3 linked regions of the Xenopus tropicalis genome follow. The protein of the gene in region 1 purifies or fractionates together with the protein of each later gene. This does not show direct contact. Links are inferred from orthologs where the notes say so. Each region holds a gene or a part of one and is shown on either strand. Other genes may lie near its edges.

The links.
Region 2: the proteins of cd9 (region 1) and itga6 purify together in Homo sapiens (co-immunoprecipitation; 3 studies listed by BioGRID and IntAct, with this or other methods). This does not show direct contact. The link is inferred for Xenopus tropicalis from reciprocal best matches to the Homo sapiens genes CD9 and ITGA6.
Region 3: the proteins of cd9 (region 1) and ptgfrn purify together in Homo sapiens (co-immunoprecipitation; 8 studies listed by BioGRID and IntAct, with this or other methods). This does not show direct contact. The link is inferred for Xenopus tropicalis from reciprocal best matches to the Homo sapiens genes CD9 and PTGFRN.

Annotation. Positions count from the first base shown.
Region 1 is NC_030679.2:18,569,295-18,575,498, reverse strand, and holds the start of cd9 (CD9 antigen), read left to right. Parts: upstream 1-2,735; 5' UTR 2,736-2,783; coding exon 2,784-2,849; intron 2,850-6,204. UniProt on the Homo sapiens protein: Integral membrane protein associated with integrins, which regulates different processes, such as sperm-egg fusion, platelet activation and aggregation, and cell adhesion.
Region 2 is NC_030685.2:67,284,907-67,290,382, forward strand, and holds part of itga6 (integrin alpha-6), read right to left. Parts: intron 4,567-5,476; coding exon 4,435-4,566; intron 2,648-4,434; coding exon 2,434-2,647; intron 611-2,433; coding exon 414-610; intron 1-413. UniProt on the Homo sapiens protein: Integrin alpha-6/beta-1 (ITGA6:ITGB1) is a receptor for laminin on platelets. Integrin alpha-6/beta-1 (ITGA6:ITGB1) is present in oocytes and is involved in sperm-egg fusion.
Region 3 is NC_030678.2:431,352-437,287, forward strand, and holds the start of ptgfrn (prostaglandin F2 receptor negative regulator), read right to left. Parts: upstream 3,660-5,936; 5' UTR 3,422-3,659; coding exon 3,364-3,421; intron 1-3,363. UniProt on the Homo sapiens protein: Inhibits the binding of prostaglandin F2-alpha (PGF2-alpha) to its specific FP receptor, by decreasing the receptor number rather than the affinity constant. Functional coupling with the prostaglandin F2-alpha receptor seems to occur.

The sequences.
Region 1 (6,204 bases):
CTACATAAGCACAACCCTTAGGGTGGCCATACATCTTACAATTACTATCTTTCCTGTGACCAATGTGACTCCACTAATGTGCAGGTCTGAATCGTCAGACATGGAGGTAGAATCAATAGGAATTCTACCTCTAGCTGATGATTCATCCTTAAACGCAGCTTTTGTCCTGCCTCATCAATCGACCATACATGCACTGAATATCGTACGAAACATGTTGCTCGCCAACCCCTTGGATGTTGCTCTCAGTGCCCCCAAACCAGTCAATTATTTTTGAATTCCTGACTTGGTGAAAAGTTTTGGTTGAATCAAAACAAGATGTACTACCAAATAAGCCCCATGTAAGCTGATAGTGTGCATAGAGGTTACCTAATAGCCAATCTTAGCCCTTATTTGAAACATCCATGAACTTTTATGATGCTCTTCAAGTCTTTTTACACTTGACTGTGGCTCACGAGTAAGTAAGGTTGGGGATCCCTGATAAAGGTTCTGACTGCTCTTTGCACCTAGCACCGGATTGGCTAACTGCAGAGCGCAGTAATGGCAGTCACAAATGACTCACAAGTTAGGAGGGAGGATACCTAAGGTGGTCCCCTTACCCGCATCTCCTTAAGGGGGGAACACAAGTGTCCGTCAGAGAGACCTGCAGCAATTTTTTAAAGTGCAGGAATTGGTGCAAAGCAGTGATGCACCAGAACTGATATATATATATACTGTATGTATGTATATATATATATATATATATATATATAAATATACATATATATATATATACTCTCCATAGAAGGCACTCATGGCATGCAGGCTATAAGAAGATTCTTTATTGGATGTCCAAATCTACGCGTTTCGATCTGCTGAGGATCACATAGATTTGGACATCCAATAAAGAATCTTCTTATAGCCTGCATACTGTAAGTGCCTTCGATGGAGAGAATATCATAAATGGTTTGCACCCGGCCTTTGACTGTATCGTGTGGTGAGTGCCGATAACTGGACTTATATACATATATACAGTACCAGTAAAGGTAGCACACCACCTAAAAAGGAGTCATTGCCTGGGTGGTTATGCAATCAAAATAACAAAATACAAATGCAATAAAGGCTAGCACTCACAGGACTTTGATAAGTATTTGTCAAAAATAAAAAAGTTTCACAAAACATTTTCCTTACATGGTTTTTATATATCCGACGTTTCAGTTCCTCACAGGAACTTTCTCCCTGAAGAAAGTTCATGTGAAGAACTGAAACGTTGGATAAATAAAAACCATGTAAGGAAAATGCTTTGTGAAACATTTTTATTTTTGACAAATACTTATCATTGCCTTTGAAAGAAAGGTGATGTGTGCCGACCACCTGCAGTCAGGCTGCCCCCCTACCACCCCGTCCCTGCTCCGTGATACTGACTGGGTATTCTGACTGCCCCAACAGGTAGCAGCCCTCAAAACTGAATTAACTTTTTGAAGTTGAAAAAAACTTGTTACAGTTAGGTCATAGATGATAGTTTGACACCCCCTCAGATCAGGTATATCGCTTGAAAAAGTAAGAACAAAAATATTATACTGTACTATATAATACTCAGTGCATCACAAATTGACAAAAGGTTGGCAAAACCCAAAAACCCCTTCACACCCATGGAGTTTGGAGGTACAACATAGATCCATAAGAGATGGAATGGATCTTTCCACGAATATGCCCACCTAACGTGGGCAATATAGGAGTAATCCGATTGTTTGGCCCTAGGGCCAGATATCAGTCAAATAGTGCAGTTGGGGGTCACCATACATGGGCAATTAGGGCCCTTTAAACTGATTTAGCAGCTTACCCGCCCATGTATGGGGACCCCCAACAGGCCTCCCCAACCTATATTTGGTCAACAATCGGGCAGATGCTGATCAGGCAGGCTTAATTTTTCTGTCGGATTGTGGAACACATCCGCTCATTGATGCAGTCCTCGCCCAGACTTTTGTATCCCCTTAATTGTAATTCAATTGTTTGGCCCTAGGGCAAAGTGATAACATTAGCACGATATCACCCTCCTAAAGCTGGCATATTGAGGGAAAGATGAGCGAATCTTACTCTTGGGCCATGCAGCGGCCTTTTTATGCATTACAGTATCTGCATCGGCCTTTTGGCTATATGATATGATAATGCAGTCAATATTTATTAATCATTATAATTTATATATAATTATATAATATATAATATATATAATATATTTATATATAATTATATAATAATAATAATTTATTAATCATGATATATAATGCTATATTGGGGAGGGGGGCTGTAATAGAGTAAGCAGATATTAAACTGCTAAGGGGCCTGGTATAGGGGTGAAGCACTGACTGTCACAATACATGTATAATAATAATAGTATAATAATGTCTTGATCATAAAGTTTAAAGGGGTTTTAACACGACTCTCTTGGTGCAATGTCACTTGTATATATCTCTTTAAAAAAAAGTAAAAGAAAGTGGGGTACTTTATTAAAAAACATTAAATATCTGGCTATTTGTCCAACACTGTAATTTTCGTTATAGAAATCAACTAGTAATTATCCAAACCTGATCAGTCAAAAGGCGAAAGAGCAGGAGAAGGGAAAGGTGGGGTAGAAGCCATGCCAGCAGTGTCCTGTAGGGGGCGCAAAATATAGCGTTATTAGCCAAGAGGTGTGGGCGTGGGTGTAGGACACTCCGAGTAAATCAGGATTTACACACCCTGCGCAGCTCTCTCTCTTCCACCGATCCAACAACTTCATCAAAGTTCGCCAGCCGGAAAGTGCCACCATGCCCGTCAAAGGGGGGATCAAGTGCATCAAATACCTTCTGTTTGCCTTCAACTTCATCTTCTGGGTGAGTTTCGGTCTGTAGGTTCTGCTGGGGGGACTCGGGTGTGGGAGAGTAGAAGGAGCCCTGGGCGGAAAGGCGTGTTTGGAGCTCGCAAAGGGATATAGTGCTGTAGCATTGCTGCCTGGGGCTCAGACTGGCTGTTAGTGATACATTTGTAACAGTATTAATGTTAGGGATTCGCTGTAGTACAGGTACACGTACAGTTATATATGGGCATAAGTATATACAGGTATAGGTTTATATGTGTATTGCTTGTAAAATCAGAAGAAAATGAGAAAATGCTTAAATATGGCTCAATGGGGGAAATATGATTTCCATATTTCAGAGTTTCTTGTTGTAAAGCTATGAGTTTTAATATTATCTTAGGTGGAGGGTGACTTTGGTGTTTGGGCAAGCTAATTAAAGACATTATGGCTAATGTCACACTAGGCTGTGTCTCTGCCTGCGTTTCTGTGCAGGCAGAGAAACAGCATAGTGTCACATAAGCCTTTCTACATGGTAGAACACATGGCAGGATAAATACAGTGCCAGTTCCCATATATATTACCCCAGAACACATGACAGGATAAATACAGTGCCATTTCCATATATATTACCCCAGAACACATGACAGGATACAGTGGCAGTTTTATTTCCCCCACAACACATGGCAGGATAAATACAATGCCAGCTCCATATATAATGCCCCAAAAATACATGGCGAATGTGGTGCCAACCTTGTGTATAATATCTCAATCCTATTTCTTGTAGTAAATGCGTTGGTGTTGGTTTGGGGAGGCTCAGGTTTCATTAAAATCTGCCCATCATTATTGTTAATGCATATTTATTAAGCCCTATCATATTTCCTAGGGCTGTACAGTAGGAGAGTGTACACATCAAACAACGTACAATGATCAGAGCTTATAATCTAAAATAAGACATACATGTGTATATCCGTATTCTTTTCTCTGTATAAACTGCTTAGTGGTGGATTGTGGAGGGTTAAACAGGATTGGGGAATGTTTACACTGAAAGCCTGCATGGGGTTTTGTAGGTTTTTTTTTGGTATAATAAATAACTCCTTCAGTGCTGGAGCAAATGCTTTTGGGCAGGGCAAGGTTCAGTGCCCCAGTGTTGACAAACAGCAGCAGCTTATATGGTGTAGCCCTGCTCGTGGTTTCAGTTCTGCAACAACTGAAGTATCTAAAGTTGTACTGTTACCTTAGGGTCACCACCATACACCAGATATGGCCCTAGTTATTATAGTCGTGCCTGACCACAAAAAATGCACTGTTATGGTATTAGAGTTGGCACCATACCCCTTTAAAACTGGACAGACAGTACCCATGCTGAATCGTGTATCAGCAATACATTTTCATGCGCAGAAACTGGTGCAGTCACAATGAGCTGTGAACTAACCATGAATTATATGGGTTTATATTGTGTCAGCTGGGATCCTACAGGAAAACATAGGTGTGGGGCTGCAGAATATGTGGGCATTATATTGATTCATTGAAATGTGATCCCATTATTAATTGATGCAAGGTGTTGGGGTGGAAGGTCCCTGCCCCTTTGGAGACAATCCATGCAACACCTGTGTAAATATTTGGCTTAAAGGCCCTGTTTTACTCTCCCAGATCAGCATTGAAGGCTATTTTTGCTACAGAGCTTGCTGTGTGCCAAGAGAAAGGCAGGAAGGATAGGGTTAAACATTAATATAAGTCACTCTTTTAGTGTGGTTTTTGGTATACCACCCCCCCCCCCCAACCCAACCTGCCAACTTCTCAGTTGCCTGTATGCACTGCACAGACAGAAAAAAACAGATGAAAGTCAGCTTAGGAGTGGCAGGGAATAGGTTAAACTGTTTTAGGCGCCCCATATTCTGATCCCTGGTTGCTGGCTCCCAGGGTGCTTAGAATTTGTCAACAAGTGGGACAGCGCTGAACCTTTAGAACATAATTGCCTGATAGACTATAAATGTATTTTCGGTTGTGCTTAATTACTTGGTTCATTGTTCCCTGTTAGCCCTAAAGTATTCAATGCCTTATGTACCCCAGGAGGGTTAAAGGCCCCACCTCCCGACATGTCCCATTATCATTATTTCATCTGGAAGAGTTAGTGGTGGATGCAGAGCAGGAAGGACAAGGAGCTGGTATAGGGTTGCCATCTTTTCTGAAAAAAAAAAATACCGGCCTACTATATATATATATATATATATATATATATATATATATATATATATATATATATATATATTACTTCCCTATTAATAACTTTGGAATCAAGCATAATTTTTACCATCCAGGCTGGTAAAATACCAGACAGATTGCAACCCTAAGCTGGTCTACTGATGTGCTTGTGTGCATAGTATCATAAACATATTTTACACATTAATAGGAATTGTAACCCCCTTTTTCCCATAAATAGTAACTAACATTAGTTCTGGCCCTGCATACATGCCTGTGGTCTAATACTATAGTCAGCCAAGGCAAGCCCCTGCCCAGCGAGGGAAAGCAGGGGGGCGGAGCTGCAGGAAGCCAAACTAGGGGTACTACAGCACTACTGTTGCACCCTGTTACAGCCATGGATAGCGGAAGGCATAAGCCTGCTGGATTGTCTTTTTGGGGTGATCAACTATAATCTGTTGGGATTAGTGCCTTAACAAAAACATTTTCTGGGCCTTACCCCCAATTTATAAAGTTGTGTGTTGCCAAAAACTGCCCTTCGAAGCACCCCCTGGGCCCCACAGTCACAGATTCTTCCCCTTAAGTAGTCTGCCACTAAATAGGATTGCATGATGGTCAGTCCAAGTTAAGCCCCCTGCTTTAATATCGAATGAAAGTTGACTGGTTTAGTGAAAATTAATAACTAGCGTGAGCCTTTATGTAATGGAGTCACATTTGTATGAGCGTCAGCACTCCCATGGATTCTAGAGACGTCTAACTTTCGGTTCTTTTGGCATGTGATATCACTTGGAGGGAACTGGATTGTTTCCCACCCCTGATCATCAGTTTAAGGCACTTGCTGCCTCCTTACCAGGCCTGCTGCCCTTCAGTCAGAAGGAACTTACATCGGAAGCTTCAGATAACTGAACCCACCCTCCCTGATTCAGTTCAGTGACCTAACCCCTGAGACATACTTCCCCAAAATGTTCTTTGCTTGCAAAAGGGCAACTTTAGAATGTGTTTTGAATGATGTGCAGTGCTTTGACACAAAAGCAGGGCTGGTGTATCAGTTTAAAAAGGCTGCAGACCTATGCCAATAAATATACTCACCTCCACACTATCTCTGTACTCTACTGTCAAGGTAGACCCCCTTGTATGTTGTTGCTTACTGTTGTAACTACACAGGCCATGCGAACATAGAAATCGTTCAAGGC
Region 2 (5,476 bases), on another chromosome or scaffold:
TCAGAATGGGGCACAGAGCCTTGCATTCCCCTAGTGAAATCAGAGCTGACTGCGTTTGGCAGTGCTATATTCATGAAGGGCAGACAGGAAAGCACGTAGGTGTTCCCCCTCCCACCCCTTACCTGTCCCTACAGCACACAGTAAGGACAGTGCTAAGATTGTAAGCTCTTTTGGGCAGGGCTCTCTTCACCTCTTGTATTGGTTATTGATTGCTTTATATGTTACTCTGTATGTCCAATGTATGAAACCCACTTATTGTACAGTGCTGCAGAATATGTTGGCGCTTTATAAATAAATGTCAATAATAATAATAATAACTTGCTCTTGCTGAACTGTGCACCAATCTGGTGCAAAGGGCAGCCATAAACTGTACTCAACTGCTGTTAGAATAAGCACTAAGCGGCAAATATTACCAGGGTAGCCATCTTGATTTATGTCTCCAATGTTCTTTACAGATATACCAAACATAGAGTCTTTGGTTCCTACAATGCGGACAGGCATAACATCATTCCAATTTCCCTGTTGATTTATATAGACATAAATGGCGCCTCCTATTTCTCTGTCATTTTTATCAAAATATTGGGGAGCACCAACAACAATATCCTTCCACCTGAGAAAAAAAAAAAGAAAAACATTTACCAGGACTGTCGTTACAAAAGTAAAGCACTGTTAATAACTTTCTGTGTATGATTACATGCATACAGTAATTAAGGGCTAATGGAATTTGTGTCAACATGAACCATTTTAATGCAATGGGTTAATGGGTTCTTTTCCTGTTCATGTCAATTCACTGCACTTATTAAGTTTGATCACTAGAGGGCACAGAGAATCCACATTTGCAGTTAAGATAGTAGAAGAGGCCCCTCAGTTACTGGAGGTTAGGGGAATGTCCTGAGAAGATCTAAATGAGGGATAATATACTAAAGCTGTTAAGCTGATCTAACCTGGGAAGCTAACTAACGCCAAGGGAATATACCTCAGTAGTGGTTCCTAAGTGAGAGTCAAAACTTTATCAGTACTTCTGACTAGTCAAGCCAGCAAGCTACTGCAGTGCTCATGTTAGAGGGTGGGCGTAAGGAACAAGCCGAATAGCAAAGGACCCTATCAATACGAGACCACAAAGCCAGCGATAGTGAAATCCCTATAAGCTGCTCCCGGTGGAGACTTTTTAATGTTTGCTGGATGGCCTGATCACCCTGGTATGGAATGAGGTCTCTTTGAGGACGAATATGCAGGTTTGAGTGAGGAGGCAACCATTGACGGTCTACTATGAACACAGGCATTTACAAATTAAATGGCTAATGGTGGTTGCCTCTGCCACCTATGTTTGATACCTGCCAGGTTTATCTGAATGACTAGTATGACTAGTATGACTGTACTAGTTATACAGGTACCTGTATGACTTCATGCCAGTTTTGGTAAATAAAAGCGAGTGGAGGACTGGTATCTTTCCCAGTGGCAACACTAAAAACACCCCACTGATGGCTGTGCATGGGTGCAAATGAATAGACAATAGCACCAAGCTTCCTTAGTAAACCAGTCACAGTGTATCTCATTGTCAGGTAACAGGGTTTTTCTGCAAGAGCTTGAGATTACTGGTTGAAATGACTTTTCTCATTTTAACATTAAGAATCCACTGGATCTTCTAAACACCTTCTTCACAGTCAGGAGAAAGACTGCAACAATCAATGCATTATCAAAGCAGAGGGGTTTGTCAATTGAGAATACATTTTTTTGCTTCAATGATACACCCAACTGTATCAACACTAACCAAAAATGAAAAAGTTAATAGCGGGAAAGACAATTTGAAAAACAAATTTGCACAATTGGGAAACAGCTCTTTTGCACACTGTAACCTAGAATTTAAGAGAGAAAGGGAAAAATCTAACTGGATTTTAATAAATAATATAGCTATATCCTTCATAAACTGGCCTCTACGTGTTTCAGGGTCTGTGCCTCTCAGGCGCACATCCATAGCCCTAACAGCCGTATGCACAGGAAGGATATGAGCCTGACCTGGAGATTAAAATAAAAGCAGATCTGTGGAACAGTGTCAGAGAAAAGAATTTGTGCAATTCACTTTGTGTTTCCTGACAAATTCTTATCTGTGTTTCTTTTTCTTAACACCATTAACAGAGTGCGGGGATAATGACAACTGAAAGGCGGTGGCACAGAAGAACATGAATCACTTGCCTGACAGCTCATGTTGGTAACACATGACCAATAAGTGATAATATCAGTAAGCCACACTTTGCTGTTTTTGTGCTCACACAATTGAATAAAAAGTAACCATTTGAGCACACGCGGCCAACAGGAAATTGGAGAAACACTGCCCAGGCACATAACAAGTCTTGCTTGAAATCACAAGTCTCTGGCATAGGTACTGACAGAACTACCATTGAGCTTTCATGGCTTATACACAAGCAGCCTTACCCATCTCTATTAAGATCGACCACCGCTACATCATAACCAAAGGAAGACGCCAGCCCTTCTCCTTGAAATGTATGTACAGCAGACAACATCCTCTCATTGGGTGGAAACTTTTGCAGCAGGACTACAGCCCCACTGTGATTGGCTCGCGGGGCTCCAGAAACAAAAGTCATTTCTTCCTTGGACGTTATCCCTCGCCCGGTATCCAAAGAAAATCCTACAAATTAAAGCCAGAGAAGACTGGAATAAGATAAATCTCACTTCGCTTTATGATGGTCTGCAGCTTAAAGGGATCATTATTTACAATACTACGTTTTACTCCTATAATTAAAATTAATATCACCAGCACTGTAAACTTGTTAAACCAGTCTCTGCAGTCTCACTCAGAAATCAGCCCAGTAGTCTTAAGCATCCCTTGATCTCATATTCTTGTTGGTGTCATTGCTGGGGGGGTGGAAGTGGACCAGATGGAGACTGATCCAGAATGAGATTCAAAATAGTACCTGGCATTTCAAGTAAAGAGAGGTCCAAACAGGCCCCACCAGGATCAATAAATATTGGTTGTCTGTGGCATCTTATGGCAGCTACTCTGGCATTTGCCAGAATCTATAGATTGCTCCAAGCTTTAATGGAGAAAGTAGCCCTTTTTATCATGTCTCTGCAACACCGCTTTGGTGATGTCAAAGACTGGCAGAAAGAGAACCTGAACAGCTAGCTTTGCACAACTGATATGGCTAAAGTCAATTAATTTTATTCAATGACCTGTTTTAGAAAACTATTTACTAAAGTAAAAATATTCTTCCTATTTTGGGAGTATCTACAGAACTGGGTTAAAAATTAGGGTAATGATGCTGATAATAATCCCTTTAAGTAAATACAATTAACATGCAATAAATGAACATGGTGTCTTCATTACCAGAAAGGAGCCACTCTGTTGTAGACACGTGTCTCTCAATAACATCATTTATAAGAAATAACTCAGTGCATGCATTTTGATGATACCATGCTGCTATACCAGGGATAAGTCACCTAAAGCCCCCCAGATTTGCTGAAGGACATCTGGAGCCACAGGTGTCCCATGTCTGGAGCAACACCAAGATGGAGGCTGCAAAAATGTAAAGGAATGGAGCAAATATATTTATGCCATGTATAAACTTAATTTTGCCTATGTGTTTCAAGGTACAACTAAATATGGGGTGAATTAAGTAGGAGAATATTAACAGATGTGTATATGCTTGAATTATTTTCAGTTAACCTATGCAAACAGATATAACATGGCTTAGTTTTGAGAGATTTAATATACAGTATTCTCCAATAGGATTTTAGTATTTGTTGTCTAAGTGACCATGAAACACATGTACACTAAATACGAAAAGCAGGAATATCTCCCTCCTGATATTGTGGAGATGAAACTGACAGGGGTGATGCTGGGTATGGTATTTCAATTCTATTTACGCTATTACATGTATGTAGAAATGCATCATGGGATGAGCACGCAGGAAGTGTGAGTGGCCAGAATGGTTTGCCAGTGATGCCACAGGTGACGTATCAATGGAAAGAGTTTCTGCAGCCAGTTACCACCAACCTAGGTAGCTATTAGTCATCACATCAACGGTTTTCTCCGACCTGGCTCTGGGGGGCCCAGATTTGTACAAAAACTGGTCTGGATCAGTATTGGACATGGTTGTCATGAACAGAAGGCCTATACGTACGTATGAAGTCCCAGAAGAAAGAGAAAGCAGATAGAGAGACAGCAAGGTTACGGAAACACAGACACAAGCCAGTCCTTGATGACATTATTAGAGCAACCCAGTGATACAAAGTACAACTGTCCAATGCTAGAAATGTAAATGTGTTCCTCCTGCTTCTGAATTCCAACTCACAGTATCCCTACTCTTACAGGGTGCTGGGATTTGTAGCTCAATAAGAAATGGAAGGCTGCTGATTAAACTACAGTCTTGCAGTTTGTTCCAAAAGGGCTTTGTAGCCTCAGACTATTATTACCTAAGTAACTGTTATCTGGTGCAGGAACTAAATCTGAATCTCGTTTGTTTTCACCACCAGTTTCATAAGGTCCATCTTCAAAAATAAACAAGTCTTCTAAAGTGTTATTTTTTTGTTCTGCCCGGACCACTCCTAAAGGATGAAATGAAAAATTATAAATAAAAATAAAGAAAGACACTGGAAATGAGTGAAAAGGAGTAGTTCACCTTTAAAATACCTTTAAAGGAACAGTAACACCAAAAAATGAAATTGTTTTAAAGTAATAAAAATATTATTTACTGTTGCCCTGCACTGGTGAAACTAGTATGTTTGCTAAAGAATCGCAACCATAGTTTATATAAATACCCTGCTGTGTAGCCATGGGGGCAGCCATTCAAGCTGGAAAAAAGGAGAAAAGGCACAGGTATTATCTGTTATCCGCTAATTAACCTGTGGCATTCCTCCTTTGAATGGCTGCCCCCGTGGCTACACAGCAGCTTTGTTTATATAAACTATAGTAGTGTTTCTGAGGCAAACACACCAGTTGCACCAGCACAAGGCAACAGTACATTATACTATAATTACTTTTATACATGTTCATATTTTGGTGTTCCTTTAAGTATGATATAAACAGTAATATTAAGGAGGTTGCTAGGGTCCACTTTACCCTAGGAACCATGTAATGGTTTGACTGAAATACTGAAAGATGCATAAAAGAGGGCCTGAGTAGACATAAATGTACTAAAAAGTAACAATACCAAATTATATACAGTATAAAACAAAATAATAGCCTCACAGAGCTGGGTCAGTGACTCCTATTTCAAAGCTGCAGAGTGGCAGAAGAAGAAGCAAATTATTAAATAACTGTAAAAAATTAAGACCAGTTAAAGTTACTAAGAACAGTACATTCTACAACATATAAAAATAACTTAAAGGTGAACTACCCCTTTAAAAAGTGCACAACTCAATACATGAAAATAATGTAAAAGGGCAGTGAATCACATGATGTATGGAAGCAAAATGCAGAGATTAACTTCAAATCACTTCTAATTAAAGGCAATAA
Region 3 (5,936 bases), on another chromosome or scaffold:
GGGTATTATGGGGTATTACTCACTGAGGGACAGGGGGGTAGGGGGGTAATTATGGGGTATTACTCACTGAGGGACAGGGGGGTAGGGGGTAATTAGGGGTATTACTCACTGAGGGACAGGGGGGTAGGGGGTAATTAGGGGTATTACTCACTGAGGGACAGGGGGGTAGGGGGTAATTAGGGGTATTACTCACTGAGGGACAGGGGGGTAGGGGGTAATTAGGGGTATTACTCACTGAGGGACAGGGGGGTAGGGGGTAATTAGGGGTATTACTCACTGAGGGACAGGGGGGTAGGGGGTAATTAGGGGTATTACTCACTGAGGGACAGGGGGGTAGGGGGTAATTAGGGTATTACTCACTGAGGGACAGGGGGGTAGGGGGTAATTAGGGGTATTACTCACTGAGGGACAGGGGGGTAGGGGGTAATTAGGGGTATTACTCACTGAGGGACAGGGGGGTAGGGGGGTAATTAGGGGTATTACTCACTTGAGGGACAGGGGGGTAGGGGGTAATTAGGGGTATTACTCACTGAGGGACAGGGGGGTAGGGGGTAATTAGGGGTATTACCCCTGAGGGACAGGGGGGTAGGGGGGTAATTAGGGGTATTACTCCACTGAGGGACCAGGGGGGTAGGGGGTAATTATGGGGTATTACTCACTGAGGGGGGGGACAGGGGGGGTAGGGGGTAATTAATGGGGTATTACCACTGAGGGACAGGGGGGTAGGGGGGTAATTAGGGGTATTACTCACTGAGGGACAGGGGGGTAGGGGGGTACATTAGGGGTATTACTCACTGAGGGACAGGGGGGTAGGGGGTAATAGGGGTATTACTCACTGAGGGACAGGGGGGTAGGGGGTAATTTAGGGGGTTATTACCCTTCCACTTGAGGGACAGGGGGGTAGGGGGTAATTAGGGGGTATTAACCACTGGAGGGAGCAGGGGGGTAGGGGGTAATTAGGGGTATTACTCACTGAGCGACAGGGGGGTAATTAGGGGTATTACTCCACTGAGGGACAGGGGGGTAGGGGGGTACTTAGGGGTATTACTCACGAGGGACAGGGGGGTAATTAGGGGTATTACTCACTGAGGGACAGGGGGGTTAGGGGGTAATTAGGGGTATTACTCACTGAGGGACAGGGGGGTAATTAGGGGTATTACTCACTGAGGGACAGGGGGGTAGGGGGTAATTAGGGGTATTACTCACTGAGGGACAGGGGGGGTAATTAGGGGTATTACTCACTGAGGGACAGGGGGGTAGGGGGGTAATTAGGGGTATTACTCACTGAGGGACAGGGGGGGTAATTAGGGGTATTACTCACTGAGGGACAGGGGGGTAGGGGGTAATTAGGGGTATTACTCACTGAGGGACAGGGGGGTAGGGGGTAATTAGGGGTATTACTCACTGAGGGACAGGGGGGTAGGGGGTAATTATGGGGTATTACTCACTGAGGGACAGGGGGGTAGGGGGTAATTAGGGGTATTACTCACTGAGGGACAGGGGGGTAATTAAGGGTATTACTCACTGAGGGACAGGGGGGTAGGGGGGTAATTAGGGGTATTACTCACTGAGGGACAGGGGGGTAATTAGGGGTATTACTTCACTGAGGGACAGGGGGTAGGGGGTAATTAGGGGTATTACTCACTGAGGGACAGGGGGGTAATTAGGGGTATTACTCACTGAGGGACAGGGGGGTAGGGGGTAATTAGGGTATTACTCACTGAGGGACAGGGGGGTAATTAGGGGTATTACTCACTGAGGGACAGGGGGGTAGGGGGTAATTAGGGGTATTACTCACTGAGGGACAGGGGTAATTAGGGGTATTACTCACTGAGGGACAGGGGGTAGGGGGTAATTAGGGGTATTACTCACTGAGGGACAGGGGGGTAGGGGGTAATTAGGGGTATTACTCACTGAGGGACAGGGGGGTAATTAGGGGTATTACTCACTGAGGGACAGGGGGGTAGGGGGTAATTAGGGGTATTACTCACTGAGGGACAGGGGGGTAGGGGGTAATTAGGGGTATTACTCACTGAGGGACAGGGGGGTAGGGGGTAATTAGGGGTATTACTCACTGAGGGACAGGGGGTAGGGGTAATTATGGGTATTACTCACTGAGGGACAGGGGGGTAGGGGGTAATTAGGGGTATTACTCACTGAGGGACAGGGGGGTAATTAGGGGTATTACTCACTGAGGGACAGGGGGGTAGGGGGGTAATTAGGGGTATTACTCACTGAGGGACAGGGGGGTAATTAGGGGTATTACTCACTGAGGGACAGGGGGGTAGGGGGTAATTAGGGGTATTACTCACTGAGGGACAGGGGGGTAATTAGGGGTATTACTCACTGAGGGACAGGGGGGTAGGGGTAATTAGGGGTATTACTCACTGAGGGACAGGGGGGTAATTAGGGGTATTACTCACTGAGGGACAGGGGGGTAGGGGGTAATTAGGGGTATTACTCACTGAGGGACAGGGGGGTAATTAGGGGTATTACTCACTGAGGGACAGGGGGGTAGGGGGTAATTAGGGGTATTACTCACTGAGGGACAGGGGGGTAGGGGGTAATTAGGGGTATTACTCACTGAGGGACAGGGGGGTAATTAGGGGTATTACTCACTGAGGGACAGGGGGGTAGGGGGGTAATTAGGGGTATTACTCACTGAGGGACAGGGGGGTAGGGGGGTAATTAGGGGTATTACTCACTGAGGGACAGGGGGGTAGGGGGGTAATTAGGGGTATTACTCACTGAGGGACAGGGGGGTAGGGGGGTAATTAGGGGTATTACTCACTGAGGGACAGGGGGGTAGGGGGTAATTATGGGGTATTACTCACTGAGGGACAGGGGGGTAGGGGGGTAATTAGGGGTATTACTCACTGAGGGACAGGGGGGTAGGGGGTAATTAGGGGTATTACTCACTGAGGGACAGGGGGGTAGGGGGGTAATTAGGGGTATTACTCACTGAGGGACAGGGGGGTAGGGGGGTAATTAGGGGTATTACTCACTGAGGGACAGGGGGGTAATTAGGGGTATTACTCACTGAGGGACAGGGGGGTAGGGGGGTAATTAGGGGTATTACTCACTGAGGGACAGGGGGGTAATTAGGGGTATTACTCACTGAGGGACAGGGGGGTAGGGGGGTAAGTCCCAGGAGAGGGAGAGGGACTGACCCACAGAGCTTACACTCTAAGGACACACAAAGAGGGATAGGCTCCTCCTACTCGCCCCTGGGTCCCGCCCCCACAAAGTGACCAAGTGCAGGGAAGTTAATGGGGATCAGACACTAATGCTCCCGCCAGGCCCGCTGTTACAGTACGGGGCAAGAGACAGAGCGGTGGGTCGGGGGCGGGGCTCGGTACTTACCGGCACGGAGGAGGAGGAGGAAGAAGTAGAAGAGGAACAGCCGCCCCGGTAGCCGCATGGTCACTCCGAGCTTTCCCCTCACTCTCTGTGGGACGCTACCAGCTGGGGCGGGGCCTCTGGCGCTACTACTGCCCGCCCCTTCCCCGCACCCCTCCCTTCTACTACATTACGTCACCCACTCCAGGTGCTCATGTCACCTGTCCGTAACACCCAATCAGCGCACTGCCCCGCCCCATCACTGGCGGATGTGCCCTTACGGAAGGTTTGAGCGAAGGAATGCGGGGATTTCAGCTGTGTTTTAGTTGTTCTGTGGCTCACACACTAGTGTCTTACCCTGCCCCCTAGTGGGCCCTCTCTGTGCTTTCATTCCTACCCACAATCCCCTGTCTTACCCCCACTCTGGGCTTCATTCCTACCCACAATCCCCTGTCTTACCCCCACTCTGGGCTTCATTCCTACCCACAATCCCCTGTCTTACCCCTACTCTGGGCTTCATTCCTACCCACAATCCCCTGTCTTACCCCCACTCTGGGCTTCATTCCTACCCACAATCCCCTGTCTTACCCCCACTCTGGGCTTCATTCCTACCCACAATCCCCTGTCTTACCCCTACTCTGGGCTTCATTCCTACCCACAATCCCCTGTCTTACCCCTACTCTGTGCTTTCATTCCTACCCACAATCCCCTGTCTTACCCCCACTCTGGGCTTCATTCTACCACAATCCCCTGTCTTACCCCTACTCTGGGCTTCATTCCTACCCACAATCCCCTGTCTTACCCCTACTCTGGGCTTCATTCCTACCCACAATCCCCTGTCTTACCCCTACTCTGGGCTTCATTCCTACCCACAATCCCCTGTCTTACCCCTACTCTGGGCTTCATTCCTACCCACAATCCCCTGTCTTACCCCTACTCTGGGCTTCATTCCTACCCACAATCCCCTGTCTTACCCCTACTCTGGGCTTCATTCCTACCCACAATCCCCTGTCTTACCCCTACTCTGGGCTTCATTCCTAACCCACAATCCCCTGTCTTAACCCCTACTCTGGCTTCATTCCTACCCACAATCCCCTGTCTTACCCCTACTCTGGGCTTCATTCCTACCACAATCCCCTGTCTTACCCCTACTCTGGGCTTCATTCCTACCACAATCCCCTGTCTTACCCCTACTCTGGGCTTCATTCCTACCCCACAATCCCCTGTCTTACCCCTACTCTGTGCTTTCATTCCTACCCACAATCCCCTGTCTTACCCCCACTCTGGCTTCATTCCTACCCACAATCCCCTGTCTTACCCCTACTCTGGGCTTCATTCCTACCCACAATCCCCTGTCTTACCCCTACTCTGGGCTTCATTCCTACCCACAATCCCCTGTCTTACCCCTACTCTGGGCTTCATTCCTACCCACAATCCCCTGTCTTACCCCCACTCTGGGCTTCATTCCTACCCACAATCCCCTGTCTTACCCCTACTCTGGGCTTCATTCCCTACCCACAATCCCCTGTCTTACCCCTACTCTGGGCTTCATTCCTACCCACAATCCCCTGTCTTACCCCCACTCTGGCTTCATTCCTACCCACAATCCCCTGTCTTACCCCCACTCTGGGCTTCATTCCTACCCACAATCCCTGTCTTACCCCTACTCTGGGCTTCATTCCTACCCACAATCCCCTGTCTTACCCCCACTCTGGGCCTTCATTCCTACCCACAATCCCCTGTCTTACCCTACTCTGGGCTTCATTCCTACCCCACAATCCCCTGTCTTACCCCTACTCTGGGCTTCATTCCTACCCACAATCCCCTGTCTTACCCCTACTTGGGCTCATTCTACCCAACCCCTGTTTACCCCTACTCTGGGCTTCATTCCTACCCACAATCCCCTGTCTTACCCCTACTCTGGGCTTCATTCCTACCCACAATCCCCTGTCTTACCCCTACTCTGGGCTTCATTCTACCCACAATCCCCTGTCTTACCCTATCTGGGCTTCATTCCTACCCACAATCCCCTGTCTTACCCCTACTCTGGGCTTCATTCCTACCACAATCCCTGTCTTACCCCCCTCTGGGCTTCATTCCTACCCCACAATCCCCTGTCTTACCCCTACTCTGGGCTTCATTCCTACCCACAATCCCTGTCTTACCCCTACTCTGGCTTCATTCCTACCCACAATCCCCTGTCTTACCCCTACTCTGGGCTTCATTCCTACCCACAATCCCCTGTCTTACCCCTACTCTGGGCTTCATTCCTACCCACAATCCCCTGTCTTACCCCTACTCTGGGCTTCATTCCTACCCACAATCCCCTGTCTTACCCCTACTCTGGGCTTCATTCCTACCCCACAATCCCCTGTCTTACCCCTACTCTGGGGCTTCATTCCTACCCACAATCCCCTGTCTTACCCCTACTCTGGGCTTCATTCCTACCCCACAATCCCCTGTCCTTACCCCTACTCTGGGCTTCATTCCTACCCACAATCCCCTGTCTTACCCCTACTCTGGGCTTCATTCCTACCCACAATCCCCTGTCTTACCCCTACTCTGGGCTTCATTCCTACCCACAATCCCCTGTCTTA